Linked DNA regions of Oryzias latipes. The protein of the gene in region 1 purifies or fractionates together with the protein of each later gene. This does not show direct contact. Links are inferred from orthologs where the notes say so. Each region holds a gene or a part of one and is shown in the gene's direction. Other genes may lie near its edges. The genes, in order: wwp2, parp1, ndfip2, ptpn14, polr2d, angiomotin and polr2m.

Region 1 (4,150 bases):
GGTTTCAGCAGAGGAGAGGCCTGAATTTAGGTCACATTTCTTCTGGCTCTTGGGTACAGCACAGAAACTCTTTTCCAAGTCCTTTTATTTTTAATTTTTTTATATACCTCATATTATTTTAGGAGTCAGCTGCTGTTGTCTGGATCTGCTCTCACTGATTGTTTTGCCTCCTCCAAGCAGAAAAATACTACTTTTTTTTTTGTTATTTGAGGCAAAAGGATCACGTCCTAATTTATTCTTGGATAAATTATAAATTGAACACTTATTATCCTTTAAAAAATTATTAAAACCTGTTAGACTGTCAATGTGAGAGGAGAATAAAAATCAACAGACTCCATTTATTTTATTTTGAAATGAATATGTAGTGAAAATATCTTACTAAAGAAATAGAAGGCACAAACGGACTGCCACTTTATTAGGAACACCTTGCTAGTACCGTGCTGGACCCGCTTTACCTTCAGAACTGCCTTAATCCTTGGTGGCATTGATTCAACAAAGTACTGGACACATTCCTCAGAGAGGTGGGTCCATATTGACATGACAGCATCACGCAGTTGCAGCAGATTTGTCGGCTGCACATCCCATGATGCCGATCTCCTGTTCCATTACGTCCCAAAGGTGTTCTGTTGGGTTGAGATCTGGTGAATGTGGAGGCCATTTGAGTCCAGTGAACGCATCATCATGTCTAAGATGATTCCAGCTTTATGACACCGCGCTGGTACAAGATGGTACACTGTGGTCAGAAAGGGATAGACATGGTCAGCAACAGTACTCTGGTAGACTGTGGCGGTGGCACCAGGCTTTGTTGGTTGTAACCAGTGGTTCTTTGAGTTCCTGTTATCTTTCTATCAGCTGGAACTAGTCTGGCCATTCTCCTCTGATCTCATTTTGGGGCTATTCTCTGTAAACCCCAGAGATGGTTGTGGGTGAAAATCCCAGAAGATCAGCAGTTTCTGAAATCCTCAGACCAGCCCGTCTGGCACCAACAACCATGCAACGTTCAAAGTCACTTCAACCACCTTTCTTCCTGGTTCTGATGCTCTGTTTGAACTATAGCAGACCGTCTTGACCTTGGCTACATGCCTCAGTGAGTGGACTCACTGGTCACTTTCTTACGCACACCTGTCAAACTGTAGCAGCAACTCGATATAAATATACTTATATATATCTATATATATATATAGATATATGGATATATAGATATGTGTGTGTGTGTTTATATGTTTAACTCTTACCCTCTCGTGGTTCTTGTTGCCCTGCAGTCCAACGCCTTGCCAAGCCACGTGAAGATCTCCGTGTCCAGACAGACGCTGTTTGAGGATTCATTTCAGCAGGTCAGACTGAAAACTACTCTAGGATTTGAACATAGACTAAACAAGTGACGTCAAGTTTCATTTTCCTTTCTCTTGTCCGCTTTCAAAATCATACACTGAAGAAAAAAGCAGAGTATGAGATGTTTTTCGCTTAAAAGTGCCAATGGAAATAGTGAATTTGTGTTAAGATTTCATCTTCAAATAAGTTAGGATGTTCTGGCCTTTGAAGATGGGTTAGACACTCATTGTCAGGTATATTGATTGCTCTTGTAACTGGAAATATTTCAAAACATGATTTAAAATAAAGTACCCCCCCCCCCCCAAAAAAAAATCCTGTGCTATTCCTCGTGCTACAACAGTCCTTATTTCTAAACCTTTTTTTTCTAAAAGTAAGATGAGAATTGGACATAAATTCATATACATAAATGTATGTTTACTTTAAAACTTTGGCATTTTTCTCATTATGTGGAGGACATATATTGTCATTTTTGTTGTGCCGGTCATGTTGGATTACGGATGTGAGGGGCTGTAAGCTAGCAGGATAGAGAGTGAACAGAGAACTATCGGATAAGGGTGATAGGAAGGGGGGGCGGGGCACTCTATGCTAACAGTCCCATCCACAACTCAGGCAAATTTCTAATGATATAGATATTTGGTAAGTACCACAGACAGCAGTCACAAAGTGCTCTACAAGAGGAAAAAAAACACAAATTACAGTTAAAATGCATAAAATAATATAATACACTTAAAAATTTGATGTATTTTAAAATCAAATGACTCAAGATCATTCAATATGTTTTGTCTTGAAAAACAATTGTTACTTCTAACAGAAAAAATTACTAGTAATTTACTAGTAACCTTTTTTTTTTTTTTTTTTACACTTCTCTTCATCAGATCATGAATGTGAAGCCGTACGATCTTCGTCGTCGACTCTACATCATCATGAGAGGGGAGGAGGGGCTTGACTATGGCGGCATCGCCAGGTGAGGAGAAATCCAAACGCACCTCCGCCTTAGCCTTCATTCGCATTCTGTCGTCTTATGTGCCTTCTCTGGTTTTCCTGCATCTCATCCACCTGTGGGTATTCTTTACACAAGCCTCCATGTTTGATGTTGGTGAGGGTGGTGTTGGTGTATGTTTAGCTTCTGCCGCTTCCTCCTCCTCCTCCTATAGATTACATATTTAGGTTTAGTGATGGAGAATGAACGCAAAGTTTATGTTATGCTTTGTTTCATTATCAACTCGTGACTTAAACTATTTTTAGCTTTAAAATTTCAGTCTGTTGTCCCAACATGCACTAGGAGTTGTTTTAATGACCCGATGGTGGCAGCGTTTTCTCAATTTGTTGCCGTAGCGACAGGATGCAGCATCACCGGGTTTATCAGGTTCGACACTAAACCCTGTAATCCTCCTGCTATTTGTCTGAGCTCTGATTAAAGTTTGCTAACTTTTGGAGATCCATGATCCTACAGGTTCTTGTGGCAATCATCCGTTAGCTTCCCCTGTGTTTAAACGCCAGAGTTGAAGGCAGAAAAGCGTCTTCTGTGTAAAGATTCATCCTGTAGCCACACAGGGATGTTTTAGCTTGTTGCAGAACCTCCTCCTCCTGGAGCTCCCTTGTCCTCCCACCATCATCTGTTCCTGTCACGCCTCCTGCTGTCCTTCAGGTCTTCCTCTCTGCATATATTTTTTTTTCTGTTTGTGGTGTTCTCATCGTTCTCCCTTTTGGGTGTTTTGTTTTTTTTTTGTTTTTTTGCATTGTGTCTCTGTCTCCGGTGTCACGTCAGTGGTTTTACCCTATGGTAGGTGACATCATGCTGTTCTACCACAGGGTAGAACCACGGACGGGATGTTGGGAGGTGTCTGCGTCCGTCAGCCCGTCCGTCAGTCCATAACACCCAGCGCTCCGCACGCCCCCCGCGGGTGTGGGCGGGGCTTAAGGAGCGCTGCTGCTGCTGCTGGTGGAGGGGCCTTCATTCTGTCTAACATTCATTCCTCCACAGTTTGTCTAATCTGCTCTTCAGATTCTTCTGCTCTGTCGTTCGTTGGAATTGCTTCAAGACAAACTTTAACACATTTGATCTGATTCTGATCATCTCTTGATGTATTTTTAAAGCGTTCACAGCATTATTTTTTTTTAAATGCCGTTTTTAGCCACAAAAAAATAAAAGGTGTAGTTTACTAGAACATAGTTTCTGCAGAGCAATAGTAGTTTATATGAAATTGAATTGTAGGTGGAACTGTTGGTGCAGAGTAAGCTTTCCTCCCTTCCCATCATCCATCTGTTTGCACGCTCTCTCGTTAGCTTACAGTCCTCACAACCCCAACCGAATATTACCGGTGCAACAAAAATGGCGAGCAATATCGGAGCTAGTCTTTGGTTTTGAGCCAGACGTCAGCTTGAATACGAAAAACAAACTCGTTCACAGATCTATTTGTCTGGTGGATGCATCAAGATGGAGCGGAGCAGGGAGCTTGTGGCTTGCCGTAGTAGCTTCTATGTCACCCAAGTTTTTTCCAATGCCTTTTTTTCTTTTTTTCACTATGGTTTGAATAAAGAATTACTCAGAAATGCAGTTTTAAGTCTTAAGTTTTTCTATATGTGCTCTCCATCATGAGAAAAATGGCTCAAGAACATGTTAAAAACACAATCTTTATGAGAGTGGGAAATTCTTTCTTAGGAATTTGGAAAAGTTGTAACACTTTCGTTTATTTTTGTTTTATTTTCCACTAATGTGTAAAGTTCCTTTTTTATTTTTATCCTTCCATGTTTTACAGGTTTCGTTTTTTTGCTGAATCTCGGACTTTCTATTTTTCTTTGTGTTTCTTATATGGTG
Region 2 (4,906 bases), on another chromosome or scaffold:
TCAAGGGCTCTTGATTTAGTATAACGTAGTGGTTAAAACGTACATTTTTCTCATCTAAGTTCACCTCAGTTTAAAAATCTAAAAATAAATGACCAACAACCCTATTATTTCTTCAAAATGTTAGCATTTTTCTTCAAAGCAAAAGAACCACAATGAAGGGATAAAAGAGCAGCATGTGGCTCTGGAGCCACAGGTTGCAGACCCCTGTTCTATTTCATCACACATGAGTTGGTTTTTGTCTGTATCTTCCATACGAACTCTATAAATGCAACCGTGTTGGTGTTTTAGACATCATGTGCTGTTCATTTTACATGTATACCATGCTTTTATACATTTTTTACAGAAATGTTTAATTGTATGATTGCCGTCCATCAAATAAACACATTTTCTGTCTGTTTTTGATACTTAAAATAATTTAAAAAACGATTTAATACTTATTGCATTCTACTTTTATCACACTAGTCATACAATTTAAGTTTTATTGGTTAAACGTACCCATTACATGGAATGGAAACCTATAATTTTGAAAGTGAAGGATTTACTTTCTTTTCAGACTGCAAGGATCGACTTCTCTTCATTCGATTGTTTTAGACTGAAGCGAGCGCGGGTACTCTGTGAGGTATCCAAATATCGTCTATTGTGAAAAATGGATCGCTTGACATTTTTTTATGAAACATTTCAAGTTTGAATACTTTTTGTTGAACATATTTTAGAGGAGTGTTGTTTATGCGGTTGAGTGGCTCCTGAGGAATGACCAAGAGGACAAATAAATATACATAAATAATAATATTTCGTTTTTGTTTTTTTAAATAAATTTATAAATAAATATATTTCAGTTGATCAAATCTTAAGTTCTTTCTTTAATTCTTCCAATCGACAAAACTGAACAAAAAAATTACCATTGTTCTAAAAAACATCTAAGGATAATAATACGAAAACAATAGCCTAGCTCTTCTTATTAAGGTCAGACTTAAAAACATAAACATACAGAAGAAGTTGCATTATGAAGAAAAACTTGTAACAAAAAGTAGAAGTATACATGCACACAAAAAATGTAATATTTGATTTATTTCCACGATTGACAGTTTATTCCAACAGTTATAGGATAATAATTATGTTGTCCATCTGATTTTTTTCAATGAAAAAAGTGATTTACATACCAAGAGATCTTCACAAAATCATATTTCTTCTTGTACGTCTTACTTTTTTGTCTAATTTACTTTAAACTATTTACTTTCTGAAAATTAGATATATAGATATGGATGGATGGATGGATGGATGGATGGATGGATGGATGGATAGATAGATAGATAGATAGATAGATAGATAGATAGATAGATAGATAGATAGATAGATAGATAGATAGATAGATAGATAGATAGATAGATAGATAGATAGATAGATAGATAGATAGATAGATAGATAGATAGATAGATAGATAGATAGATAGATAGATAGATAGATAGATAGATAGATAGATAGATAGATAGATAGATAGATAGATAGATAGATAGATAGGTAGATAGATAGGTAGATAGATAAAAGAAAACGAAAGAAAAGGTAGAATGGTAGTAAGTAAATGAAAGCAGAAAGAAAAGAAGCTTCCTGCAGAAAAGCCAATTGTCATTTTCTTTTAATGATGTCCAAGGAATATCAGAAGCCGGCTGTTTTCTAAATTTCTAAATAAGAGCTTGTGAGTATGGATAACTTAAACAATAAATATGATTTTCATAACAACAACAAAAAACATAAACTTCCATTCTACAGGCTCTGCATGCAAAGATGTTTTGAAAGATATGCTGAAGGAATGGAAGTATGTAACCCCGTTTCTTAGGTTCGGTTAGCTGTGATTTCTGTAGCTATCTGGATAAATATGCCCGCATCTATCAGATATTTGTGGACATGCGCCCAGGTTCAGCGTCCATTGGCAACTAACGCTTGTATCGGAGGTTTGACAAAAAAGAGTCAGAGTAAGCCCTCTTTACTGGATCTTGCTCGCTGCTCTTCGCGTTGTCCCTGTTGTTGCTCCTCGTGCTCTGGTGGAGAAACTTTGTCGTCTTCGGTTCAGCTTTTTAAGGATAAAGGGAAGCTATGGCCGACTCCCAGAATGACAAGCTGTTCCGAGCAGAGTACGCCAAAAGCGGCCAGGCTTCGTGCAAGAAATGCAAGGAGAAAATCGCGAAGGACTCGCTGAGGATGGCCATCGTGGTGCAGGTAAGCAGCGGCGGTCCAAGGAAACACCCGGGAGCGGAATTATTCCTACAGACTCACTTGTTTACCAAGCAGCTTCAGCAGATGTAAAAAAAAAATAAAAGTGTGTTTTTGAAAATGTGATATATAGGCCTGAGTAGTTCCGGTTTCGTCTGGACTGGTTTGGGCCCTCGTTAGCATTTATGGCTGCTAAATCTTCCGCACAAAGAGCCGCAGAGATGCTCCAAATAAATGCACTTTCCGGCATTCAAGCAGAAATGTGAGGAAAAATCACTGCTGCCTCTCAGTCTGACTCAGTCTTGGTGATTCTATCGCTTGTCTTTCGGGGGAACGTGTACCGCTCACTACTTTCTTTACTTCATTCGCTTTTTCCTTTTATTTATTCATTTAGTATTTTGTCTACCACAGGCTTCCGTTTCAGCAGATGGATTTGAAATACTAAACTTTGCATAATTAATTATTATTCTACAAGCAATTAATGCAAGTAGAATTTATATTTTTGGAAAAATACGTTGACATTCAAGTAAATTAATATGCAGGTAAAAAAATTATTATCTATAATCCAGTAAATTGTATAAAACTAATTTCTAATGCAAATTTAAAAATTAGGATGAAAAATGTAAATATCAATCACAGGTATTTATAAAAAAAAAATAGATCATATCTAGACTGATTGCTTTTATTGTCAAAAATTTTATATCAAAAGCACAGAGTAAAAATTGGCACCAACTAAACTTTAAAAAAAAAAAAATATATATATATATATATATATATATATATATTTAAATCATTTGTATTCAGATTTATATTTGTAAATTTCCCATCCTTCAGACTGATCAATTGATGGTTATTGATATTATTAAATAAACAGTTAAAATGTTTAATTTAAGGCGAGCAATTTAAATCTAAACGTAAGGAATAAAATGTAAAAATAATAATTAAACACATATATAAACAAAACTTTTATTACAGTTTGTATTTGTTTGTGGAATTAGAAAGATGTTCAAGTTTTTATTTGAAGGTATTTTTTATGATTTAAATAAAAACAAAATTGCGCTTTTGTTTTGGCGAGTCACTACAGCTAAAATGTTAAAGATAATTTGAAAAGCCTCTTATTTTTCTTAAACTGTACAGAAAAATTGAGAAAAGTCATTTTTAAAAGGAGCAGGACATGGCGACAATAGTACAATTATTTTTTTCAAAGGGTTAGTTTTTTCCTCCCATTTCACCTTCAAAAAATATTACGGTATTGCTAAATTATTTTACATCCTTTACTCGTCTCATAAAAATGTTTTTTGTCTGTTCTTTGTTCAACTTTTCAACTATCTTGTTCAATTCACCACCAAACTACACTGGAGCTTTCAGATGATCTGATATGAGCAGCAAACCCATCATTTTTTTCCAGAATCATCCAAACCCGGCAGATACAGACAGACTGAAAACTATAACTCTGCAGCTGAATGTGTTCACGCCTATGTTTACTCTGTGTCCCGCAGTCCCCCATGTTCGACGGGAAGGTCCCTCACTGGCATCACTTCTCCTGCTTCTGGCAGCGAGCCTCGGTGCAGTCCACGGCCGATGTCGGCGGGTTTTCGGATCTCCGCTGGGCGGACCAGGAAGCTGTCAAAAAAGCCATAGAAAGTGGTGGAGTGGCCGGAACAGGTCTGTGCTTGTCTGAGCTGTTTGTGCACACGGGAAATGAATTGACGTTTATCAGCGTGGTGAATGTTAGTCATCGGAAAGTCGCTTTTGTTTACTTTTTGTAGGTTGTTGAAAATTCTGACTTAAAGCACAGCGGGGTAAATTGAGGTCTCCATCTTGCAGGAAAGGGAAACTCTGGTGGTGCGGCTAAAGGAGAAAAGACGCTGAACGACTTTGCGGTGGAGTACGCCAAATCAAACCGCAGCACGTGCAAAGGATGTCAGCAGAAAATAGAAAAGGTTTGCTGCAGCTTCGTTTAAACAGTTCATTAACGGAAAGCACGCCTGTGACCTCTGACCTCTCCTCCAGGATCAGATTCGTGTGTCTAAGAAAGTGGTGGATGCAGAGAAGCCTCAGCTGGGCCTGATCGACCGCTGGTACCACACTGCATGTTTTGTGAGCCGCAGAGAGGAGCTGGCTTTCAAACCTGATTACAGCGCTGCTCAGCTGAAGGGATTCAATGTGCTGCGGGCAGAAGACAAGGAGGAGCTGAAGAAGAGGCTTCCTGCTGTAAAAACTGAGGGGTGAGGAGTAACAAAAACTATATATATATATATATATATATATATATATATATATATATATATATATATATATATATATATATATATATATATATATATATATATAAAAGTTTGACTAAGAGCTTTGACTCAGCTCTCACAGACTTGGTTTGGTCTAGAAGTTCTCTCATCTCCTCTGTTGTTTCCACTTAAAATCTCTGCCTCTCCCATCGACCTGCAGCACAGAAAAATGGCCTTAAAGGCGTCCCTGAAAGCCGTCATGGTGTATGCATACAGGAAGGGGTTCACAGCAGAGTTGGCGTGGGACAGGATGATGGTGGTGAGCAGCAGCTCCAGCGGAACGGGGCACTTTGGGCAAAGCAGGAGGAAGCAGTTGATCACATGGAGCGGAATCCAGCAGATTGTGAAGAGAAAAAGAACGAGGAAGAGCGACGTGGCCATCTTCATCTCCTTGCGCATGGTGGCTGCCG
Region 3 (3,213 bases), on another chromosome or scaffold:
GTGCCTCCACCCTACAGCGTTGCTACTTCCCTCCCCACGTATGATGAGGCAGAAAAGGCCAAAGCAGCAGCCATGGCTGCTTCTGCAGTGGAAGTGATGCCCAGGGTGAGAAGACACTCGCGTAAATTCACATCCACATATCTGTTTCATGTTGTTTTCTTGACACATACCGAAACAAGTGTAACAGAAAAATGTCAGAAATGGATTGTGTAGTCCATTTGGTTAGTGGTAAAGTACACATAATTTTATCTTTAAAAAAATGAGTCTGGGTTCTTTTGGGTTAAAAGAGAAACACTTCCTTAATGAATTCCACTTCTCCACCCTGTTCAGCAAATCAGCTGCTTTTACTTTTACCTGTAAAAGCTTTAAGTGGATCCACAGCTAATAAAAACGAATTCTTTATGAAATAGGAGTTATCTTCTCGGCTTATTTTCCAATCCGCGCCTTTCGCTCCTTGAGGGTGCCCCCCCTTTCATGGCGTAAGCCTGGAGCCGGCCTCGGCAGCATGTCTGCGTTTCGCCCATGAAAACAAACCACATCGATTGTAGAGGTAGGGATGCACAAAATATTTGTCAACCAAATATATTGGGCCAAATACTGGAAAAAAGTGGGAGAAAATAAGGCCCATCAGAGGCGTTTGACGCAATGTAAAATTGGTTAATAAATGTGCATTGATGATCTTGCGCCTTATTTAAAATCTTGTCAGTGTGGAGATGTTTTAAAGTGACTGACAGCGACAAATAGAACTGCTGGATCCAGTGAATGTTGAACTAAACGAACAAGAGGGGGTTTATCTGCTAAAACCTTTAACACATCTTGATTAAGTAAGGGTTAATGGCAGACGAAGTCTGCGTTATTACTTTTTAACGCACCCCATAGAAGCCTGAACCATTGCTTCCGCGAAGTGCTTTAAAAAGTGATAATGCACACTTCAAAGGCCATTAACCCGCTTATACCATGGTCACTAACAAAAGAAATATATATTTACCAGTTTTTAGTCCGTAATTCATGTTTCTTTCCCGATTTGGATCGCTTTTCTCACAAAAAGTGGACTATTTGTTGTTACTTGACCATGTAACAAAAAGTCTGCGTCACGCCGCACCATCGTTGCAGTCAAGATTCGGCGATATATATATGATGATGGTCCGGATGGGTTGAATAAAGCATCAGTTCAGAGAGAAAGTTCACCTCTTACTGCTTGTTTTTGTCAAAATAATGAAGCAAATGGTTGTTTAAAAGAAGCGGGCGCAGTGATACAAAACATTTAAGCTAGGTGACCGGAACGTCTTTTTTCACCGTGCGGTTATCAATGTGGTATATCACTTTTTAATGCACACCCAGCAGCCAATCGGAATCAAGTATTCACCCGGACCATGGTATAAAGCCAAATGAACATGAGAATGCTACAGCAGCTAAAAGGAAAGCTCGCAGCACTCAGTCTGTGGCACATGTATCTGAAAAGACAAAAAGTTGGTAAAGGAAAGCGCCATAGATAGATAAAGCACATGGCTTTAGATGACCAAGCGTTTATTTATTCTAGACTATTTATGCAAAATTAAAAAAGAAGGAATGAAACAAACAGAGAAAATCTCAACATCCACATTTTTCAGCCAAACATTTGAATTTTTTTTTTTGGCTTTGTCCATAAATTATACTTGTGGTGCATCCCTACCTAGAAGTGGAAGACATGTCCTCACTGACTTTTCTATAGTTTATATTGTGTCCAAACAGCGTTCGAAATCCTTAAATACATAATTAAGGAATCATCAGTGATTGGATGTTTTTAGTTTTACTTTGTAAATGTTGTTCTCATGTTTTAAATCCGTTTGTGTCCACAAAAGGACGACGACTTTCCTCCCAGGGACGATTTCAGTGATGCGGATCAGCTCCGAGTCGGGAATGATGGGATTTTCATGCTAGCTTTTTTTAGTAAGTCGCTCTTATCATCTATGAAAAAATTAACCATAAAGGTCAGACAATCACAAGATGTTTAAGAAGCAAACCCTTTTTTATGATGACTTGACTATAACAGGGGCTCATTTGAAGCATTAAGATGAAAAGTCTGGTAGAAATGTCAAAATAAGAGCCTTTCGACGAGGGTTTCCTGTGTCTGTGCTCCTGCAGTGGCCTTCCTCTTCAACTGGATTGGCTTCTGTCTGTCCTTCTGTCTGACCAACACCATCGCAGGACGCTACGGTGCCATCTGCGGCTTTGGCCTCTCCCTCATCAAGTGGATTCTCATTGTTCGGGTACAACCAGACACAAAAAGCTTTCAAGAGTCTCCCTATAGGTAGAAAAACCCGATCAGTGTTTTTGTCCTCTTGTTTTCAGTTTTCCGATTACTTCACTGGCTACTTCAACGGTCAGTACTGGCTCTGGTGGATCTTCCTGCTTCTCGGTGAGTTTTTAACATGCTTATCCTTCAGAAAATTCTGATCGGATGGGGTTTGACCTCTTCTCTCTCCGCAGGACTGTTGCTCTTCTTCAGAGGCTTTGTGAACTACTTAAAGGTTCGCAACATGACAGAGAACATGGCCACCTCTCACAGAACGCGCCTGTTCTTTCTTTACTGAAGGTAAGTGTGAAAAAACTCAACGGAGAGATGCTCCTGTTGGACGCCAGCACTAAACCCTCTCAAACGTTTTAAATGCTTCTTTTCCCTCAGGTTTGCACAGCATCAGCATTCCTTCTCAATGTGAACCCCCACCCTCCCCTCGAATGACCTGAGCTACGGACCTGAAAGCCAAGAGGAGGAGGAGGCAGGGCAGGAACCAAGGAGGCAAAAGTTGCGAGTTTTTTTGTTATTTGTTTTCCTTTCAAATCGAAGCTTGATCTTTCTTCGGTGCCGTTCAGACAAATGAATCGATGCAAATTAAGTAAATTTACCCCGGAAGCACAGAGAGGATCCTGCAGGAGCAGCCGAAACCCCGATGAGGAAACTTTCCCATGTTTTCCCATCATCCCTTAAAATGTTCCCTCTTCTCCAGAGATCACAGTTTTCTCCAGCTTCAAAACATCTAAGGTACCAGTTTCCTCTGTAACATTCAGGCTTTCAAAACGGGTCAACGGTTTTTGTACTTGAGGAACCCGAGCATGTGAGGGAGACCCCTGAGATGTGCACTGATGGCTTTACATATCACAGATCCCGATGCCTCAGTTTCAGGTGTTCCACTCCCCTTTTTTGACAGAGGAAGTCTCTTTGATCCACCTGGA
Region 4 (4,150 bases), on another chromosome or scaffold:
CGGCAAACAGGAAATGGCGTTTTCATGCAGCTGAGCCTGGTCACCCTGACAGTTCTGCCTTTCTTCCTGTGTGGCCGTTCTCATTCTACAAACATCCAATTAGAAAGGGGAACAAAAGAAGCCCAGAAACCGAAGCAGCCCGCTGCATTTTGGTTTGGTTTCGGGACTTTTACCACATTTTTCTGAAGGCTGCAAATAGCCTCAACACTGTCACTGTATCAGCTTACACTTCCAACCACGGCTGCCCAAAACCGCAGAGAAAAGACTCCCAGTTCGCCCTACATTTGTACTGTAACTGTTATGCTTCTGTGTTGTGTAAATCCTACCAGAGATGATATCCAGTGCCTAATGTGTCAGGCTCCTGAATGATCACAGACCTTTGCGACCATTTTGTTTAGCTCCAACTGGTAAACTTTAGAGAAATATGTCTTTTGGTATTTTAAGTAAAAGTGACTCACTCATTCCTCATTTCTGCAACAACATTCTCTCCCTTGGCTCAGGGTGGCTGCTGACTAAGAGCAGTGAAGAGTGAGTGGGTCATCTGCTTGCAGTTCATCAGTTGCTAATCATCATGGTTTCTCATAAAGACCCACTCCAATCATCTTTAAATCTATTCTAAAAGCCTTTCAAGTGGTGTTTTAATTATGATTATGCTGTTTTTACCCAAAATCAAAAAAACTGTTATTGTCTAGGACATACTTTCTGCAGTGGTTCATCAGAAATTCACCTCTGAGTTGTAGGCAGGATGCAGGGTGAGCCATCCTTCATTTCCCATCATCCCTTTGTTTATACGCCCTCCCACAAGCTTACAGCCCCTCATAACCCCAACCTAACATTAGTGGTGCAACAAAAAAGGGTGAGCAATATCCAGACGTACAAAGAAAACGCTGACGTACAGTTTGAATATTTAAACCTCTTGTTGTACAAGAGGTTCAAAATTTAGAATTCTGTTGGTTTTTGTCATCAATACATTAAATATTATGAAGTTCTATAACCCATTGGCTAGTTTTTGGTTGCCAACATTCCTGCTGTGCATAGGGAATTATACAGTATAACTTTGTGTAGCTTCTTATGTACCAAAATATTTTATTTATAATTTTTTTCATGATTTTATGACCCTCTAATTGATTAATTGATAATTTCCCCCACTGGTTCCTTTTTACCTCCAATTTTTGGCTCGAACCTGCAAGAAAATGTGTCCTCTTTCTCGCCTTGTACGTAGGTATCAGTATTACCTGCAAGTGAAGAAGGATGTCTTGGATGGACGCCTCCATTGCAACATGGAACAGGGCATCAGACTAGCTGGACTAGCCGTTCAAGGTAAGATTCATATCAATCACATGTGTTTAATCTAGCAGAGAGAAATGCAGCAGCCGAGGGAAGCGTGCGCACAAACCGGCGCTTTCTCGGGTCATCTTGACACTGCTGCCTTATATGGCTGCATACCACAGGGAGAACCAGTCCACTCGAGTTCCTATGGTATCAGTCCTAACACATGCACACACACTCTCCATCCTCGAGCGCTGTCTGCGTCCCATGGGGAATGTAAACAGACAGTGAGCTTATCAGCAGCTCCAAGGTTAGCCTCCGCAGCATCAGGAAGACGGTTATCTGTTGGGAGGCAAGGATCCTCCTCTTTGCCTCCTTTTGTCCGACAAACAGCACTTAGTGGTTGATACAAGCTCTATCTGGAGAATGAGCATGTTATAGATATGACGTGCACACGGGGGCTTTGTTGATGTGTACGATAAGTTCTTAATTTATTCTCGGGCCAAATCTTGACAAGTTAGTCAGGAAGATTAAACCCAAGAAAGCATTATTGGCTGAAATGCAACTGAACACTAGATTTGATAGTTTCACCTCTAATGGAGACCTAAAACGTGTCATTTAATGCTGGAAGTTTTGGTTATAGATGACCCCAGTGGCAAACTAAAACATTGTGTGGTGAAGCTAAGGCTCTTTTTAAAGTTTACCGTTTTTTTCTTCAAATTTAAAACCCTGCAGAATAAATTGGCACAGAAATACACTTTCCTACTTACTTGGTTGTTCTTTATTCAAAGTTAAAGCCACTGTCAGCTTTTTTAAGGTGTTTTTTTGTCGGCTGGTTTTCATCCTTTAATCTACTAAGCGCTCACCTTCTAGCAGTGGCTTTACTCCCAGGAGTCGGACGATGACCTGTTTTGTAGGTATTTCTTGGCTCAGTCTTTGGCATCTGCAGCTTTAGACTGACAGCATCTGACTGGGTCGCATCTCAGAAGTTCTGTTTATTTAAAAGACATTTTACAGTTTCATGTCTGCTCCTTTCATGATTTTAGCCATTAGTCACTCATCTGAATTTGATTTATTACATGTACACGTTTAAAATGATTCATTTTGATGATTCTTTTAGCCGATTTTGGAGACTTCAATCACTTCCCATCTCAGGACTTCCTCAGGGAGTACGTGCTTTTCCCAGTGGTGAGTCCTGAAATCTCTAAAATCTCGGAAATTCAATCTGCATGTGATTGGTTGGGTGTTAATATGCGGCCTGAAGGTACGCATTCCCCTGGTGCATACCTGCAGAAAGAGCGTGTGGACATGTGGCCTTTATCTCCGCTTCTTTTTCCTTCCAGAACTGGCCTAACGGAGATGAAGTGCTGGAGGATTGGACGCAAAAAGTTGCAGAAGAGCACAAAAGTCACTGGTACTCCCAGCTTGAATGTGTACTCTGCACAAAAAAAACCTTTGCAAGTTGAGCAGGAGATGAAAGAGTGATTGCTTGCGCTTTTCTACCTTGTAGTGGAATGCAAACCGCTAAAGCAGAGCTGCTGTACATCAAGGAGGTAGAGAAACTGGATGGTTTTGGACAGGAAAGCTTTCCTGCTAAGGTAGATTCGTTTTATCCTCACAAATCTTTTACATTTAAAGAAAAACCTTTATTCTTAAGCATTTCCTCTTCTTTTTACAGGACAACTACACCAACGACATTTTTATTGGAGTGTCTTTTATTGGAGTGTTTGTCAAACACAGAAATGGCAGGTCCATCATGCTCCACAAGTAGGTTTCCCTTTATTTTTGCAGTCGATTCATGATGCAGCCGGGTGGGAATGTTTAATTCCTGTGTGTGTGACAGGTGGAAGGACATCGGTACCATAGCACACAACAAGTCAGCCATCACAGTGGAGATAACGAGCAGAGACGACACCATCGCGTTTCACATGGTGGGTGTTGTGTCTGCAGGCGGCCTCAGCTCGTTCACACACAAACTCTTTCAGCAGGCGGTTCTACTCTGTTTATTTCTGCGCTGTTTTGGGAAGGAAAAAGATGCTCGTGATACAACCAGGAGACCATCTCCATTTACTGCGGACAATCTGGCTATCCTGGCAATAAAAAAAAAGAAAAAGAAAGAAAATAAAGCTTTAGTACGACACGATGAGACAGACATTAGATAAAACCTATAAAATGTAGTCAAAAGTTTCTTATATTGCCAGATTGTGAATATCACATTTTCCAACAAGTTGCATATTGGTTCGTAATGTAATGTTAACAGAAAACCAACATAAAATAACTGTTTATACATTTTAGATTATATAACAGCCATAGACATATTGGGCGAATAATCGACACACAGAATATTCTGCACAGTATGCAAAAACGGAATCTTAAGAAGGTAAAACAGATCCTTGTTTCAAGAAAACATTCCTGTTTTTCTGTCTTGTAAGAAAAATAATCTTATCAAGAAAGTTTTTCAATAGCAATAGCAGATTCTTTTTTTGTGCTTATTCAAAGAAAGTCTGCCAATGGGGTAAGAATGTTTGACAGATTATGTTATGCAGAGTTTTTCCATTTTTTTCTAATTAATATTTATGATTGACAAGATCAGGAGATGACATGGGCAGCGTCTTCTTCACACAGGTGCTGCACATGCTTGACAGATTAACGAAATCTTCATCGCAGTTAGATCTTTGTTTTCATTCTATAAAACTGGACTCATTTTTCTATGCAGTTTGAAGTTTGAGAGTTTAAGCACGAGAGAAAAGTTGTTCATGTCTGTCTGAGAAAAGTGTGTAGTGAGAGGTTTTTACTGCTTTAAAACATCCATAATTCTACTTTGCAGATTTCATCTGGCGCAGGTTATTTAAGGAACATATCCACCGCAATAAACAAGGGA
Region 5 (4,934 bases), on another chromosome or scaffold:
GTGGCTGCAGAGAGGGTCCACCAGAAACATAAGAGGAGAAGCTAAAAAAGCTTCAAAGTGGCTCATGAAGAGGAGCCATGACATAACATGCTGCTTAGATAGAAAATGGGGACTGATCACCACTGGTTGGGTCGACTGAGTAAGGGGCCGGGAAGAAGAAATACCCGAAACATCCTTTGAGTTATTCACTGAGGATGCAATTAAATTGCAACTTTTCAAGGTCTTTCAATGTTCTTTCAATATTTGTTGCTGAGGAACAATGACGTTATTAAAACTTATTGAAGTTTTGTACAAATAATTTAGCATTTTACAAACGAGCTTTGTTAGAGTAATAACATAAAGAATGAAACACAAGTGAATTAAATGCAACATTTTTCCAAAGGGCCCACTGAAGAACAACTGTGTCTGGAATTTACAAAGACATATCTTCCATGCCCCCATAGTCCTGAGCAGGACTACGGGGGCATGGAGTCCATTCCAGTTACTTCAGGGCATAAACAACATAACTCTAAGCACTTTACTAGACCATCAGAAGTCTATTCAAACTTCTTAAGGGACAATTTTAGAGTAGAGTACCTAATTTACCAATAAAACATGCTTTGAACCCCTTCAGGAACCTGAAGGTCTTGGAAAAAACAATGGACACACAAAATGTAAAAACCTCACACACATTCCAACCCTACCGTTCTGAAATTTGAATCACCACGCCACCTGGTGGAGTTGCAGGAGATTACAAAAGGTGAGAAAATAATAGTTGCTACAGATTCATTCTCAAGTTTACAGAGTTTCAGAAGTGTTTGCTACCAGTGTAGCTGTGAAAAAAAACGTGTGGCAACTTCAGGTGGAGTATAAAGACTAAAGTAAGACTAAATAAATAAATAAATAAAGTAAGACTAAATAAAGTCTGCATATGACCTTATGACCTGCAAGGAGCAGGTAGAGAAGCATCTAGAGAGGAATAAAGACCAGTCACAGCAAGATAATGTACCTACATGGAAATACAAGAAGCAATTGAAACTGTTGAAAACTAATAATGCGGATAAAGAACATTTTTAGTTATAAAATAAAGGTTTGTATTTTAAAGGTCACATGGTTAAAAAAAATACAAATTTTATATGATATAAATAACACTGACAAACATATCAGTAAGAAATTCAAAAGAGAGGGGAAAAGATGAATAAAGTTAAAATGAATATCAGGGACCAAAAATCTCAGCAGGTCTATGCTATGGCGAGCTCACATGGTCTTTTATTATTGAACACTACAAATGTTAAGTTAGGAACCTGTAAACATAAATGTAAAACAGTTAGAACATTTAGAACAAAAAATGAGATAGATCATCAAATAAAGACACAAGAAAGCAAAACAAAGACAGAGTCAACTAAAAAACACCTAAATATGAAGAGTTTTGATATAATTTAATGCCTTTAAAAAAGTTGAAACATTTTCTTGCTTTTTTACTTTTCATGAATTAAACAAATCTACTTAAGAAACACATTAAACAGTGGTTTGGTTTTTAATAATTTACTTTTATGAATATAAAATTTGCTTTTGATTGTTAAAATATTTTAAACTAAATTTAACAGACTGTTATGTGAAATTACACCAAAAAGAATGTTGTTCTTTTTTAATGAGACTTGAACAGAGGAATTTGAACACCACAAATGAAACTCATCCCCAAAAAGATTCAAAGTACATGCAATCAACAAGCAATTTCAACACAAAAATACAATTGTTTTCTTTAAATCTTTAACTTTAACATTTATTTACAAGGAAATAAATTATTTATTACAAGGGCATATATGACTGAACAGTTCTATCGTTGTGTTTGAGGGGAGTTCCTACACTTCATCTTCCAGGACAGTAGGTAGCAGAAGCGCACCATTATTGCTAGATGACACCCGCCTAAACCAGAAGAAAGCAGAGGAAGAATATCACCGGAAGTAGATCGGTGTTGTGACCGGAAGTTCCCCGAGCGCCGTTGTTCTCTGCACAGTTAACGTTCTCACCGTAGTCTCCGAGAGAAGCTGACGGAGCTCATCGGTACTGCGCGCCTCTGCGACCCGTGACTGTGACTCGACATGACTGCCGCTGGAAGCTCGGTTTCCTCGCACGTGGGAGACGTCGAAGAAGACGCGTCACAGTTGCTGTTTCCCAAAGGTGGCGCGCACAAATACTGTTTACTTCCGAAACTTTTTGTTAGGTTACAGTGTAACCTGTATTGGAAACAATTACGTTGCTATATGTGACCGATGAGGATAATCATCCCCTGATTATTAATTTATGTAAGCTGCATCACCGATTTGAATCTGAATATTTTCATTATACGACCATCATCATCTGTACTGGTTAAATGTTTCTCTCACTGACACACATGTATTGTGATCATCATGATGTTTGGTCCACTGATCAAGATAGAATTATTTGTTTGTTTGCTGAGAGTAAACTATAAGTTTAAATTTACATGGATTGCTGTCCTGGAAGGTCTGAGACTCAACAAGCTTCCTAAAATAGTACAGGCTGACTTTGATCAGCAGGATTTTTGTCCTACTTCTTGAAACAGGCCTTAAATTCCAGTCCACAATCACTGCAGGAATCCTTCTGTCTTTCAATCAAAATGGTTCTGGAGCTGATATTCTGTAGAATCTGAGCTCAAATTCAGTGACTAACCAGCCCCCTCCTGCTGTCTGCAGAGTTTGAGAACTCTGAGACGCTGCTGAACTCGGAGGTCCACATGCTGCTGGAGCACAGGAAGCAGCAGAACGAGAGCGCCGAGGACGAACAGGAGTTGTCCGAGGTCTTCATGAAGACTCTCAACTACACGGCCCGCTTCAGCCGCTTCAAGAACCGCGAGACCATCACTGCCGTGCGCAGGTAAGGATGCCCCTTCTGGTCCCAGGTCCTGGCCCTGATCTGGGTCCTAATGGCCTTTCTGTCTGTCTCAGTCTCCTCCTGCAGAAGAAGCTCCATAAATTTGAGCTGGCCAGTTTGGCGAATCTGTGTCCTGAAGCTGCAGAGGAGGCTAAAGCTCTGACCCCCAGGTGAGTCTGGACTGAACCGGACTTGTTCTTTTCACCCATAAATTACAGGGTCTTCGTTAACCAATCTGTGAAAAGATTCACCTGACATCAGATTATTCTGAACACCTTAGTGATTTTAGGATTTTTGGGAGGCTTGACTTTTTATTTTATTTTAACACTTTCAGTAAATTGAGTAAAAGTATAAGTTAGTCTGGATGCCAAGGAGATTTATTTAGTAATGTCGAAGTAACACTATTTTACATTAAGGGCAGACGTGTGCAGCTTTAATTGAATTAATTCAAAGAGAAAACCTGAGAGATTATCCTAAACTGGATCAGAAAACATTTTGGATCAATTCATCACAGACATGTAGTTTTATGCTGTTCTTACTTGTCAGGAATTGGTTTCTTGTTGAAATTATTATGCATTAAAAAATAGCAGATAAGTTATTTTAGATTGTTTAGTGATCATTATTTTTGTGAAAATATACAGTGGTGGACAAAATTGTTGGTACCCATCAGTTATAGAAACAAATTCCAGAATTCTCACTAAAATGACTTGAAATGTTCAAAAGTAACAATAAATTAAAATTTAATGAAAATGAAATAATCAAAATCAGCTTTTTAATTTGTTGATTGACAGAATTATTTAAAAAAAAAAAAAAGCTAATGAAATAGGGTTGGCCAAAAATGATGGTACCTCCATAACAGACTGAGAACTAATTGCCCAGGGGGTCATGATGAACTCAGGTATGTCCTTAAATTGACATCATAGCTGTCTTCAAACTCATAATCAGTCAGTCTGTCAACAATTTTGTCCACCACTGTATCTTACTGAGATATGGATCGTTTTGCAGGTGATGTTGTTACAATTCTTATCAAATAATTCATCGTTGAGAGAATAAAGTTCTGCCGGGTTCTGCTTCTTTTCTCAGTCTGGAGGGTCGCTTTGAGGATGAAGAGCTGCAACAGATCCTGGATGACATTCAGACCAAGAGGAGCTTCCAGTACTAAGACCAGGACCAGCAGCTGGACCTGAGACCTCCAGAACTCTCCTTAACAGAGGCAGCGTGGTTCACGTTCCACCGGGACCAGAAAAATCACAGAACATTTAATCCACCCACCACCCAGCAGAATCTTGATGTACTTTAAAGGCACACAAGATGCTGTTTGTGTGTCTGATTCTATCCGGTCTGTGGAAAATCCAGCACATGTTGATAAGAAAACTGTATCTGTGCTCTGCTCCTTCGGGTACCTATGGGCAGAAACTCAAATCCATCATCAGTGAGCTTATCCCGAACACCGCCCACTCGTACTGCCAGCTCAGACCTGCAAGACCACCTTCGAGTCAGAGTCCACGCAAAATTGATTCCCAACAGAACCTTCTTGTCCCAGGAGAACCCCTTTTAGTGCTTTTGTGTGGTTGTCTGTCCAAACCGCTTATTAGGAGCGGAACAGGGAACTGGATTTATTGTGTTGATTGAAAATAAAAATTTAAAAAAACTACACCAAGGAACAACCAAGCAAAGTTTGTAAAGCTCTTTTAACAAAAAGAATCACAAAGTGAGAAGGAGAGCCGGTGGACCATAGGGACAGAGGCAGGGAGGGATCTCATCAAATCTTCCAATCTTTATTACAGCTAAAGGGTAGGTAGGTGGTGAAACAGGAAAAGATGCAGCAAATGAATCACAGGTGCTGTCATTCCCTTCTCCACCAAGGATTCCTAGATGGATTGCTGTCCATTAAAAAAAAAAAGTTATATACACAATATAAATTAAAAAATGTAAAGACGTGATATAGCATCAGTATTAGCATTGGCCCCAGGGACACAGCAGGGAGAGAATTGGGGGGTACATTTTAAACTGTTCTTCTGAACACTCACTACGGTCCATGACTCATCTAAGTGGGGTTCGAA
Region 6 (4,150 bases), on another chromosome or scaffold:
GCCCAGTCCTCCACCCTCAGCAGCATGCTGTCTGCCTCCCACTCCTCGCATCCGTCCTTCCCCCACCAGCAGTCTCTTGGGGAGCCTCACCACATGTCTGGACCTCGTAGTCCACATGGCACAGGCTCCCACCAAGGAGCCGAGCCAGGCATCCAAGGTCCAGGTCACCCACCCATGCACAGAGGTCACGCTTTCCCCGCCGATCCCTATGGCTCCACCCCGAGGTTGCACCATCATCAGCAGCTTCATCACCCATGTCAGCAGCAGCACCAGCAGCAGCAGCACCAGCAGCAGCAACAGTTTCAAGGTCATCCTCAACCGGCTATGATGGTTCAACCGGGGAATTTTCCTATGCCACACTCCTACGGCCAGCTGCCAGGCGAGCCCTACGCCATGCTCGCTCGTACTCAACAGATGGTGGATGTGCTGACGGAGGAGAACCGGATGCTGAGGCAAGAGATGGAGGCCTGTCGGGAGAAAGTCACGAAGCTGCAAAAGGTAACACCTGGTGAAGGCCTAAAGCACATCCACATTTCTTCAGCCTCATATTTATTTGTGTGGATATTCAAATCTTTACCTGCACTGCAGAATTCCGCCCTATCGTCCATCAAGTAACGCGATGGCACAACGTTTTCAGAGTAAAAAGTAGAAACGTGGGAGAAAATCAAATGCGGCATCGTCTCCTGTCTGCAGCTGGAAACGGAGATCCAGTTGGTGTCGGAGGCCTACGAGAACCTCGCTAAATCCTCATCCAAGAGGGAAGCTCTGGAGAAAACCATGAGGAACAAGTTGGAGCTGGAGGTGCGGCGCCTGCACGACTTCAACAGAGACCTGAGGGGTGAGTGCAGGGCGGGGCCCGGAGCTGGCAGGGTGAATCACAGCGTGGAAATGCACCACACTGAGGTTCTGGTGCAAACAGCCACCAGTGGGTTTAGCAAATGCGCTTATAAAGGGCAAATCTGTACAATAAGTTCAAGATTAATTATCAACAAGATGTTTTTTTAGTCTGAATTTGTGTGATTGAAGGGAAAAGGGAGGCCCAACCCAAAATGAGATTAGATCAATGTGCTCATAACACAATTAGCATCTATTTATGCAGCACAGACGCACACAAAGAGCAAATCTCTCTTCATCATAGGAATTTAGGAATGCTGCTTTGCTTCCTGTTGTCCTTCCTGCCTCCTGTCTGTTCAGTTAGAACTGACCTTTGCAGGGATTACATCCAAATCTCCCATTTGTGCTCTCCCAAAATTTCAATAGATCTATTGAACAAAGATCTTTCTTGTGTATTTTATTTTTCGTAACTTCTTGATTAATGAGCGTACCATTTATGTTTCTTCAACGAGCCCACATCAGTGATCAGACATTTGGAAGGATTTTACAGGTCAACACATACCTGCAGACAGATGCAAGAAGGAAGATGCTAGAGGCTCACTTATAGCTTACAAAACACTTTTTCTTTCTTCTGAAAGACTTTTTGAAGCTTTAGCTTGTCTTATTCCACCGAGGCATCACAGAGAGAGGAGGCTAAGATGGTCGGCAGATGTCTGCATGCTAGGACTCAGAGCTTCTCATGCTGGATCCAAAACATGCTGGTGGGAAATGGGTTTCTAGAGATGCAGACTGCAGAAATGACTTACTAGACAGTCATAGACATGAAGTAAGAATCAGGAAAACCCAACCTCTAGAATGACATCAAAACAACTGATCCCTCAGAGAAGCACTAAAGATTGAAAGAAGACCTTGAAAGAGAAGAGGTCCCTGTGGGGATTAGAGCACTCGGAGCTTTCAGACACAAACTGGGAGAGCGGCTCTAGCAGATTCCAGGAACAACATCTGAGATCTGTGTCCAGAGGACAAAGGGCAAGAATAGAGGCTCCTACTGTGCATCGTGCAATGTGATTTCCTGGATTATTATTTATAAATTCTTTCTCTCACAGTGGAAGTGTATCATCTTCTTGCGTGGGACAACTCACAGCATCTTTAACTGCCCAACACGTTTTTGCCCCACAGTACACAATAAATAAATGCACCTCATAAAGACATCTGCTGTTTATACACATTTATATAAAACTCAAAATAATAACCCGCAAAACGCCAAATATGCATAATTAAGTGCGCATAAACACCAATATTGTTATAGAAACTCTGTTTTTACATACAATCAGACGCATATTAAACTAGAATGGCAATACTGTCTTTGAAACTCTAAAACATAAAGGTTAGAATTCGAGAAAATGAAAACTATTACAACTAATGTCATTTATATAACATGATTAAAAGAATGGTAGAGCAAAACACAAAAACAAGGACCTTAAAAAAAAAGAAAAAAAGAATCTTTAGTTACACCTTTGAAATTTTTATGCAAACAAGTATTTTGATTTTGATTAAATTTAGCCCCATAATCATACTAACAGTACAACAATACCATAAGTTTTAGGACTAGTTGACAAACACAAAAATACATTTACAATTACGACATTAAAGTCCTAAATTTATGAAAAAAAGTCAAATAAGTAGAATAAAGTTGTATTTTTATAAAAATCATTTATGACTTTTATTTCTTATAAATTTTCATTCATTTTCATTTTTAAAGTAATAATTTATGACTTTAAAACACAAATTTATGAGAGAACAGCCATAAATTTAGGAGGAAAAAGTAATACATTTAGGAGAAAAAATGTCTTAAATTTAGGTTGAAAAAGTCATTAATATATGAGAATTTGTTTTTATAAATTTAGAAGAGAAAACATTAATACATTTAGGAAAAAAAAGTCATAAATTTACGAGAAAAACAACAACACAGTTTATCTTTTTATTGGAGCCGTGCTTGAAGATGAAAGATATGGAGAACTTTGTGAAGCTTTATTTCCTGATAATTTTAAAAAGAAAGAAATTCTGATCCTTTTGACCACCTTGAAAGAAAAAAAACAAGCTAAGAAAAAAAAACAAGCTAAGAAGAATTTTTTTAAGATCAACATCAAGAAGATTTGATGAAAATGACCGAGAAAACTTGTGAATCCTGACCTGACCTTCAAAGTTTTACCGAGAGCTGGGTTGATAAAATCAATCTATTAATCTGAATCGATCCAAGCTTTATAAGTCAATAATCGATCCATAAAAGTATAGATCGATCTTTTACGCCCCTCCTTTTCCGGTGACCTAACGCATAACAGCAGTTAAAAAGTCTGCTAGCCTGATGCTAACGTATAATGGAATTTCACATAAGACTGCTGATGCTAACGCTCGTTCGACCTAAACACACATTGCTGACTAAATGAACAGATTTATATACTCACAGGCATGAATTTTCCAAACTCTTTTAAAGAAAAAGATTTTTTTTTTTTTCACAAAGTAACAATCTGCACAGTTTTTTCCCCTCAAATCTTCTGGAATAAAGCGTTAGGCTGTAGCGCGAGCTCCACCTAGTGGCCAAACGAAACATAATAATCTGCTCATTTTTGCTGGAGCTTCTCCCTTTAAGAATTAATTTAACTCTGGATGCTGTTAACAATCGCATTGGTTTATTATTTCATCACATTTTACATTGAATCAAACCGATTCTGGAAATTGCTGGTGATAGTCCTAGTTTGACCCCCCCCCCCCCCCCCCATACAATACTTTGAGTATAAGAATAAATATGTTTCTTTTGATGCACAAACTTACTATAAAATAACAATAGTTGTCTTTTCACAACTAGAAATGTCTGTGTGAGTCCAGATCATTTACTTCCGGTTTTGATGTTTTAAAGAGCGCATGGAGACGGCAAACAAGCAGCTCGCCACGAAAGACTGCGAGGGCTCAGAGGACAACCGCAAGACCATCTCACAGCTGCTCACACAGAGTGAGTGACACACACACACACACACACATACTCCAGCAAGCATGCCTACCTCAACACTAAACACCCTTTTCTTCTCCAATCAGTGGCCACATATTCCACAGTCAGTGTTTGAGTTGGCAGCGGAGCCATTTGGCTTTAGCTAATGGTCATTTAGCATATTTTTAAGGCTCAAAACTAACACAGGGATAATCTTTAAAGCTGCTGCAGATTAGTCAGTCCACATGAATGCAATTTTTGTTCAAATGTTTTCAATTTTTAACCCATGAAAACGTTTGGCTGATCAGCAGCTGGATTTACAGTTTTAGA
Region 7 (4,824 bases), on another chromosome or scaffold:
AAAGTCATTGTCTGCTGAGTTGGGTGGAAATGGTTTGACGCTTTGGCTGGAAACCTTCCAAAGGGGAAATGCAGCTGTGGAAAACAGAAGAATGCAATACTGGAAAATGTTACACCGACAACACCGGTTAAGAAAGAAAAGATCAACAAAAAGCCTAGGATCTACAAAAGGGATGTTTTTTTGCCCTGTTTTAAGCATTTTGTTTAAGGAATCTGATGGGATGGTCTGATCTGCAAAAGAAACAAGAAATCTACAGAATATTGAACTATAACAAAGAACTAAGATCTCGTGAGCAAAAAATGTCATATTTAAAAAATAAAAAAGACATGGTATTGTATTGCTATGCATTGTTTTCACTAAGCAAATAAGAAAAGATGAATACAAAGTGCTGTTTATTTCTTGGGATAGAATGATTTATTGATAATATATTTATAGTTTAATTCATTTCTGCCAAACAGGTACAAGAGATTAATTGTCTTTTTTTTTTTGAGGGAAACAGAGCCTTCAGCTTTCAGGCTCATCTTTTGTGGCACCAACTCCCCAGTTCAATTCTGGAGGCAGACACCATCTTTATCTTCAATGCAACTAAAGCCTTCCTCTGATAAAGGAAAAAGTTCTCTTTGACCTGGATGACCTTAACCCTTGTGCTATCATAGGCACTTTGACATTGGGAGTGGGGTCATCTGGACCCCACAAGACAGTGCGCTGAACGTTTTTTCTTAAATGATTTGTAATCTTCACTGGTGTCCAAGGATAACATGAAATCCTCTTCGCCTTTATCTACCTTTGTCCTGGTAGGGATAACACGTCAATGCTAGGGTGGGGTCATTTGGACCCCATAAGATAGCACAAGGGCCTCACTTTATACTTTTCTTATTTCTGCTTTGTTTTTTTTTAAGAATGCATTTAATACATTTACAGTTCCTAACTGGAATGTCTTTGTCATGTGGTTGCAGTGTTTGCCCCTGTGTTGTCTACATGTCTTCCTGTCCTCTAATCCAAACCACTAAGTGTAAACGGTCGCTCTCATTTGTTCCACTTAAATTGTTACATTTTCACTTCACAATTGTCTGTTTGCGTCCTCATAAAGGATTGCGACACATACTCTTTGATGTAATCTGTTGGTCACTTATTGAAAAAAAAAAACTAGAGTTAGCCAATTTGACCCGAATGAAATATTATGGATTAAATTGGATTATAAAACCATTTTAAATAATGTAGTTGGAGAAAAAAATAAATAAATTATTTTGTGGGCACCACTGGTGCTGTGACGTGCTTCATGCAATCAATGACGAGTCATGGTATTTGTCACAGTAATCTGAGTAAAAGATAACTTCAATAAAATGGTTAAGTAAGACATATGGTTACTATTTCCTCTAAAACACTTAAAATGATATGTGATTGAATCTTTTGTCATTTTCCCACAAAACTGGAGATTGTAATTACTTGATTCATTGTTTCTTGCTCTCCTAGATTTTTCACCTTGCGATAATATCGGTTGGAAATTTAGTTTTTTTGTACAACTGAAATTGAATTTACTGTATTGGGAAATTCTCCTCATGATCGTTTTTGGTAGTCGTGACCACCTTTGGCCAGCAGAGGGCAGCAAATTACATGTGTTATTCCAACGGCCAACGAGCTGCAGTACAGTGATCTGTACAGTAGAGGGAGAAAGAGCGTCACAGCAGACGTTGAATTTCCGCAGAAGAAGAAGAAGGTCCCACTTTGAAATGTTGTCATGAGTGGAACTCAAAGAAGGTTTCACGTAGAGCGGATTGTTTTATTAGTAAATTGTTTCTAGTGTTTTTGTCGTATAGTTTTAAAGTCAAATTTTAATCTACAGTTCGTTGTGTGGGAATGGCTGCAGTTGGAAGCGGGTAGCCATCAGTAATGTCGTGGACCGATCAGCGTCAGGGGAAGGTTGGAGACCTGAGGAACCAGAGCAGAGAAGAACTGCAGGAGCTGCTGCTGCGACAGGAAAAAATCCTCTCCAATAAGTGAGTCTGGCCTTTTATTAGACGACAAAAGAGACATTTTCCTGTAGTTTTTTTTTATTTGTTTAATGACCATAGTATATTAGCAGTTAAAAATAGTTACAACACATTCGGTTCCATCATGTTAACGTTATACCAACTGTTAAGAAATTAAAAGTAAAACCTGCACATTTTAAAATGCCCACTTTGGGCTTTAACCGAATGTTTTATATTCCAGATGCTACATGTTCGTTTATATTGTTTATTCTTAGTCATCTTTTAACTTTTAATAACAAAAAGTTACTCCCAAAGACAAATGTTTTGCTCGAAAAATGTCCCTTTTCAACAGTGAATGTAATCATAGCAAGAGGATTATGTTAGAGTCCCCCTCTGATCATCTGGATCCAGTCTCCTACAAGTGGATGCATCATGGCGTGGAGGAGGAGGGGGCTTGTGGCCTGCCGACTGTAGCTTCTACATCACAACAAGATTTTTTTCATGTATATGTCCTCTATCCTGAGAAAAATGCCACAAGAACACGTTAAAAACCGAATTTTCATTGCAGTGGGCCTCGAGGTTGCATCAAAATAGCTAGGAATGTATCATAAACCATATCAACTGATGCTTATTGTGTTGTGTATAAATCACAGATTAAGTTGTTGTTTGTTTTAGAAAAAGAGGCAGAGATGTGATAAATGCCATGTGACATAACTGCTCGATGAGTTCTTTACAAGATGATTGTTTGTTGTTTTTTAGGAGGTTATTACAGACTCTTCCAGACAAAGGGAAAAAAATTCAAGATTTTGCAGACAACGTGCGTCTCGCCATTGAACAGCGCATCGAAGAGGAGAGGAGGCGAGATTTACTGTCTGCTACAAGGAGCGATTTACAATCCAAGTACCAGCAAGCTTTCAGTTCGCAACAACGTGGAGTCACCTCATCAGCACCTTCATACCAAAATGAGGAAGGAGAGGACTCACGAGGAACGGAAAGCACACCTGATTTAGCACCAACGAAGAAAGATGCCACTTTAGAAAAACAAATGGACACATCTGCTGCCGAACCCTCTGTTAAATCTGAAGAGATAAAAGAAAGTGAGCTAGTGGAAGCCCTGGACAGGGTCCAGGTATCCGAGTCCAATACTGGAAAGTCCAAAGAAGCCTTTAACAGCAAAGCAACAACCAATTACTTTCTCCAAAAGCAAACACCAAAGAAGCCTCACTATATTGCTGTCCTGAATAGAGGAGAGTCCTCTTTACATGCCATCAGGCAAAAATTCAAACCAAATCAGTAAGTTACTTTATTTCTTTCAAAACTTTGATATATTATTTGCATTTATGTCTGTTTTATTAGGGATAAACATCTGGATTCCTTGAAAATCAAAATGTTTTAACCCTCTTTTCAGGCTGCTCAACAGAAGTGACGTTTCAACGTCAGGATCCTCGTCACCAGGTGAGCCCTCTGGAGATGCATCGCCGCTGTCCGCTCAGGCCAGGAGGGAGCAGGACAAGAAACACCTGGATGATGTCACTGCGGCCAAACTCCCTCCTCTTCATCACAATCCTGCCCAACTCCTGACCCTTGAAGAGTCCGCTGCCTTACTTGTAGAACACACCAGAAAGCAGCAGGTTAGTGTGACTGAAACCTCTCACACACATCAATATGACTCGCCATTTAAAATGGCTGTGAAGTGTTGAGAGGGCTTCATCACTGATGTCTATCATTTTGGGCTTGTTGTGGACCACTCAGAAGATTTTCTAACAATGCACAGTTGCTACTGTGGAGGTTTTCATATATGTGCAGGACTGATGGTAATATAGGTGTCATTATTTGCCCACAGGGGCATTTTCATAAATTCTTTTTTATTATTTTGTTAAAATGGTCTCAAAACAAAATGTTATTATCTGCCATTGCACAAAAGCACACATTGACAAATGTTATGCAGGTTTGAATAAAAAACTGAAAATAAAAGTGAATAAATTGGTTCAAAGTAAAATAAAAATCTTAGTGAAATGTGTTTTTAATGAATCACTGACTACATCATTTGATGTTTGTTTCATTTTGGTTTTTCATAGTTGTCATTTTCCCTTAAGAACTCCAGAGGGCAGTATTCAGACACTGACTTTACATGCAGACCAATACCTGTAAATGCAAGAGTCAAATCATCTTATTATTATTAGTCATATTTCAGTGTTTATTGCTCTCTTTATGCACTTTTTCCTATTGTTTTTTTTCTTCAAATCTTGTGTATGATTGTAGGAGTTGCAGGCCAAGCTGGCAGCCCAGAAACTGTCTGAGGGACTAAAAATGTCGGTGGGGGGCTACAACCCTGACGGCGGCTCCATGGGCGCCTACAGAGAGGTGCACGATGAAGAAGCACAGCTTTCCTCAGAGGAGGACTGATCCTGGAGGACCAGCTGAGGAAACCGTTGGCCCTTTGGCTCAAAGATGCTTTGGACCTCACTATGTGGAGCTCTCATGCATCTTAGCATGAAGGAGATGTGGATAGACTGAGCTTAGCAAACTAAATGTTAAGTTAGGATGATGGATCTGTTTAGCTCAGGTCTTCTCAAGTTCTGTCAAGATAACAGCTTCAGCTGATCCAGAGTCTGTGAGGTTAAATCCTAAATTGGTTTTCTAAGTTGAAGTTTTCTTTTAAAATTAAAAAAATGCACTTCAAGTTGATCAGCAGGTGGAACTGACTTTTTTGGGACATTGTGACTGTTTACAGCTGTACCAGCAGACGTAAGCTGAATAAAAACATCTGACTTTGTGAAAGTTAGAGTTTATATGACAACATTACTGACTGACAACTACATCAAGCAACACTCACCAAACAGCATTTTACAAA

Evidence for each region.
Region 2: the proteins of wwp2 (region 1) and parp1 purify together in Homo sapiens (affinity purification with western blotting; 3 studies listed by BioGRID, with this or other methods). This does not show direct contact. The link is inferred for Oryzias latipes from reciprocal best matches to the Homo sapiens genes WWP2 and PARP1.
Region 3: the proteins of wwp2 (region 1) and ndfip2 purify together in Homo sapiens (affinity purification with western blotting; 3 studies listed by BioGRID and IntAct, with this or other methods). This does not show direct contact. The link is inferred for Oryzias latipes from reciprocal best matches to the Homo sapiens genes WWP2 and NDFIP2.
Region 4: the proteins of wwp2 (region 1) and ptpn14 purify together in Homo sapiens (affinity purification with mass spectrometry; 3 studies listed by BioGRID). This does not show direct contact. The link is inferred for Oryzias latipes from reciprocal best matches to the Homo sapiens genes WWP2 and PTPN14.
Region 5: the proteins of wwp2 (region 1) and polr2d purify together in Homo sapiens (affinity purification with mass spectrometry; 3 studies listed by BioGRID and IntAct, with this or other methods). This does not show direct contact. The link is inferred for Oryzias latipes from reciprocal best matches to the Homo sapiens genes WWP2 and POLR2D.
Region 6: the proteins of wwp2 (region 1) and angiomotin purify together in Homo sapiens (affinity purification with mass spectrometry; 3 studies listed by BioGRID and IntAct, counting the BioPlex papers as one, with this or other methods). This does not show direct contact. The link is inferred for Oryzias latipes from reciprocal best matches to the Homo sapiens genes WWP2 and AMOT.
Region 7: the proteins of wwp2 (region 1) and polr2m purify together in Homo sapiens (affinity purification with mass spectrometry, with the first as the bait; 3 studies listed by BioGRID). This does not show direct contact. The link is inferred for Oryzias latipes from reciprocal best matches to the Homo sapiens genes WWP2 and POLR2M.

Annotation. Positions count from the first base shown.
Region 1 is NC_019864.2:27,508,596-27,512,745, forward strand, and holds part of wwp2 (NEDD4-like E3 ubiquitin-protein ligase WWP2), read left to right. Parts: intron 1-1,262; coding exon 1,263-1,334; intron 1,335-2,207; coding exon 2,208-2,296; intron 2,297-3,080; exon of another isoform or gene 3,081-3,175; intron 3,176-4,150. UniProt on the Homo sapiens protein: E3 ubiquitin-protein ligase which accepts ubiquitin from an E2 ubiquitin-conjugating enzyme in the form of a thioester and then directly transfers the ubiquitin to targeted substrates.
Region 2 is NC_019882.2:7,703,623-7,708,528, forward strand, and holds the start of parp1 (poly [ADP-ribose] polymerase 1), read left to right. Parts: upstream 1-1,981; 5' UTR 1,982-2,091; coding exon 2,092-2,214; intron 2,215-3,707; coding exon 3,708-3,873; intron 3,874-4,035; coding exon 4,036-4,151; intron 4,152-4,221; coding exon 4,222-4,436; intron 4,437-4,906. UniProt on the Homo sapiens protein: Poly-ADP-ribosyltransferase that mediates poly-ADP-ribosylation of proteins and plays a key role in DNA repair.
Region 3 is NC_019860.2:18,751,765-18,754,977, forward strand, and holds part of ndfip2 (NEDD4 family-interacting protein 2), read left to right. Parts: coding exon 1-105; intron 106-1,841; coding exon 1,842-1,929; intron 1,930-2,124; coding exon 2,125-2,249; intron 2,250-2,331; coding exon 2,332-2,398; intron 2,399-2,469; coding exon 2,470-2,573; 3' UTR 2,574-2,575; intron 2,576-2,665; 3' UTR 2,666-3,213. UniProt on the Homo sapiens protein: Activates HECT domain-containing E3 ubiquitin-protein ligases, including ITCH, NEDD4, NEDD4L, SMURF2, WWP1 and WWP2, and consequently modulates the stability of their targets. As a result, may control many cellular processes.
Region 4 is NC_019882.2:9,194,798-9,198,947, forward strand, and holds part of ptpn14 (tyrosine-protein phosphatase non-receptor type 14), read left to right. Parts: intron 1-1,222; coding exon 1,223-1,320; intron 1,321-2,389; coding exon 2,390-2,457; intron 2,458-2,612; coding exon 2,613-2,683; intron 2,684-2,779; coding exon 2,780-2,867; intron 2,868-2,947; coding exon 2,948-3,036; exon of another isoform or gene 3,037-3,112; coding exon 3,113-3,200; exon of another isoform or gene 3,201-3,359; intron 3,360-4,150. UniProt on the Homo sapiens protein: Protein tyrosine phosphatase which may play a role in the regulation of lymphangiogenesis, cell-cell adhesion, cell-matrix adhesion, cell migration, cell growth and also regulates TGF-beta gene expression, thereby modulating epithelial-mesenchymal transition.
Region 5 is NC_019878.2:10,414,335-10,419,268, reverse strand, and holds polr2d (DNA-directed RNA polymerase II subunit RPB4), read left to right. Parts: upstream 1-1,945; 5' UTR 1,946-2,081; coding exon 2,082-2,160; intron 2,161-2,693; coding exon 2,694-2,874; intron 2,875-2,945; coding exon 2,946-3,041; intron 3,042-3,954; coding exon 3,955-4,033; 3' UTR 4,034-4,538; downstream 4,539-4,934. UniProt on the Homo sapiens protein: Core component of RNA polymerase II (Pol II), a DNA-dependent RNA polymerase which synthesizes mRNA precursors and many functional non-coding RNAs using the four ribonucleoside triphosphates as substrates.
Region 6 is NC_019872.2:12,817,604-12,821,753, reverse strand, and holds part of angiomotin, read left to right. Parts: coding exon 1-498; intron 499-693; coding exon 694-838; intron 839-3,751; coding exon 3,752-3,844; intron 3,845-4,150.
Region 7 is NC_019861.2:21,378,659-21,383,482, reverse strand, and holds polr2m (protein GRINL1A), read left to right. Parts: upstream 1-1,647; 5' UTR 1,648-1,758; intron 1,759-1,843; 5' UTR 1,844-1,890; coding exon 1,891-1,997; intron 1,998-2,729; coding exon 2,730-3,263; intron 3,264-3,378; coding exon 3,379-3,601; intron 3,602-4,232; coding exon 4,233-4,376; 3' UTR 4,377-4,751; downstream 4,752-4,824.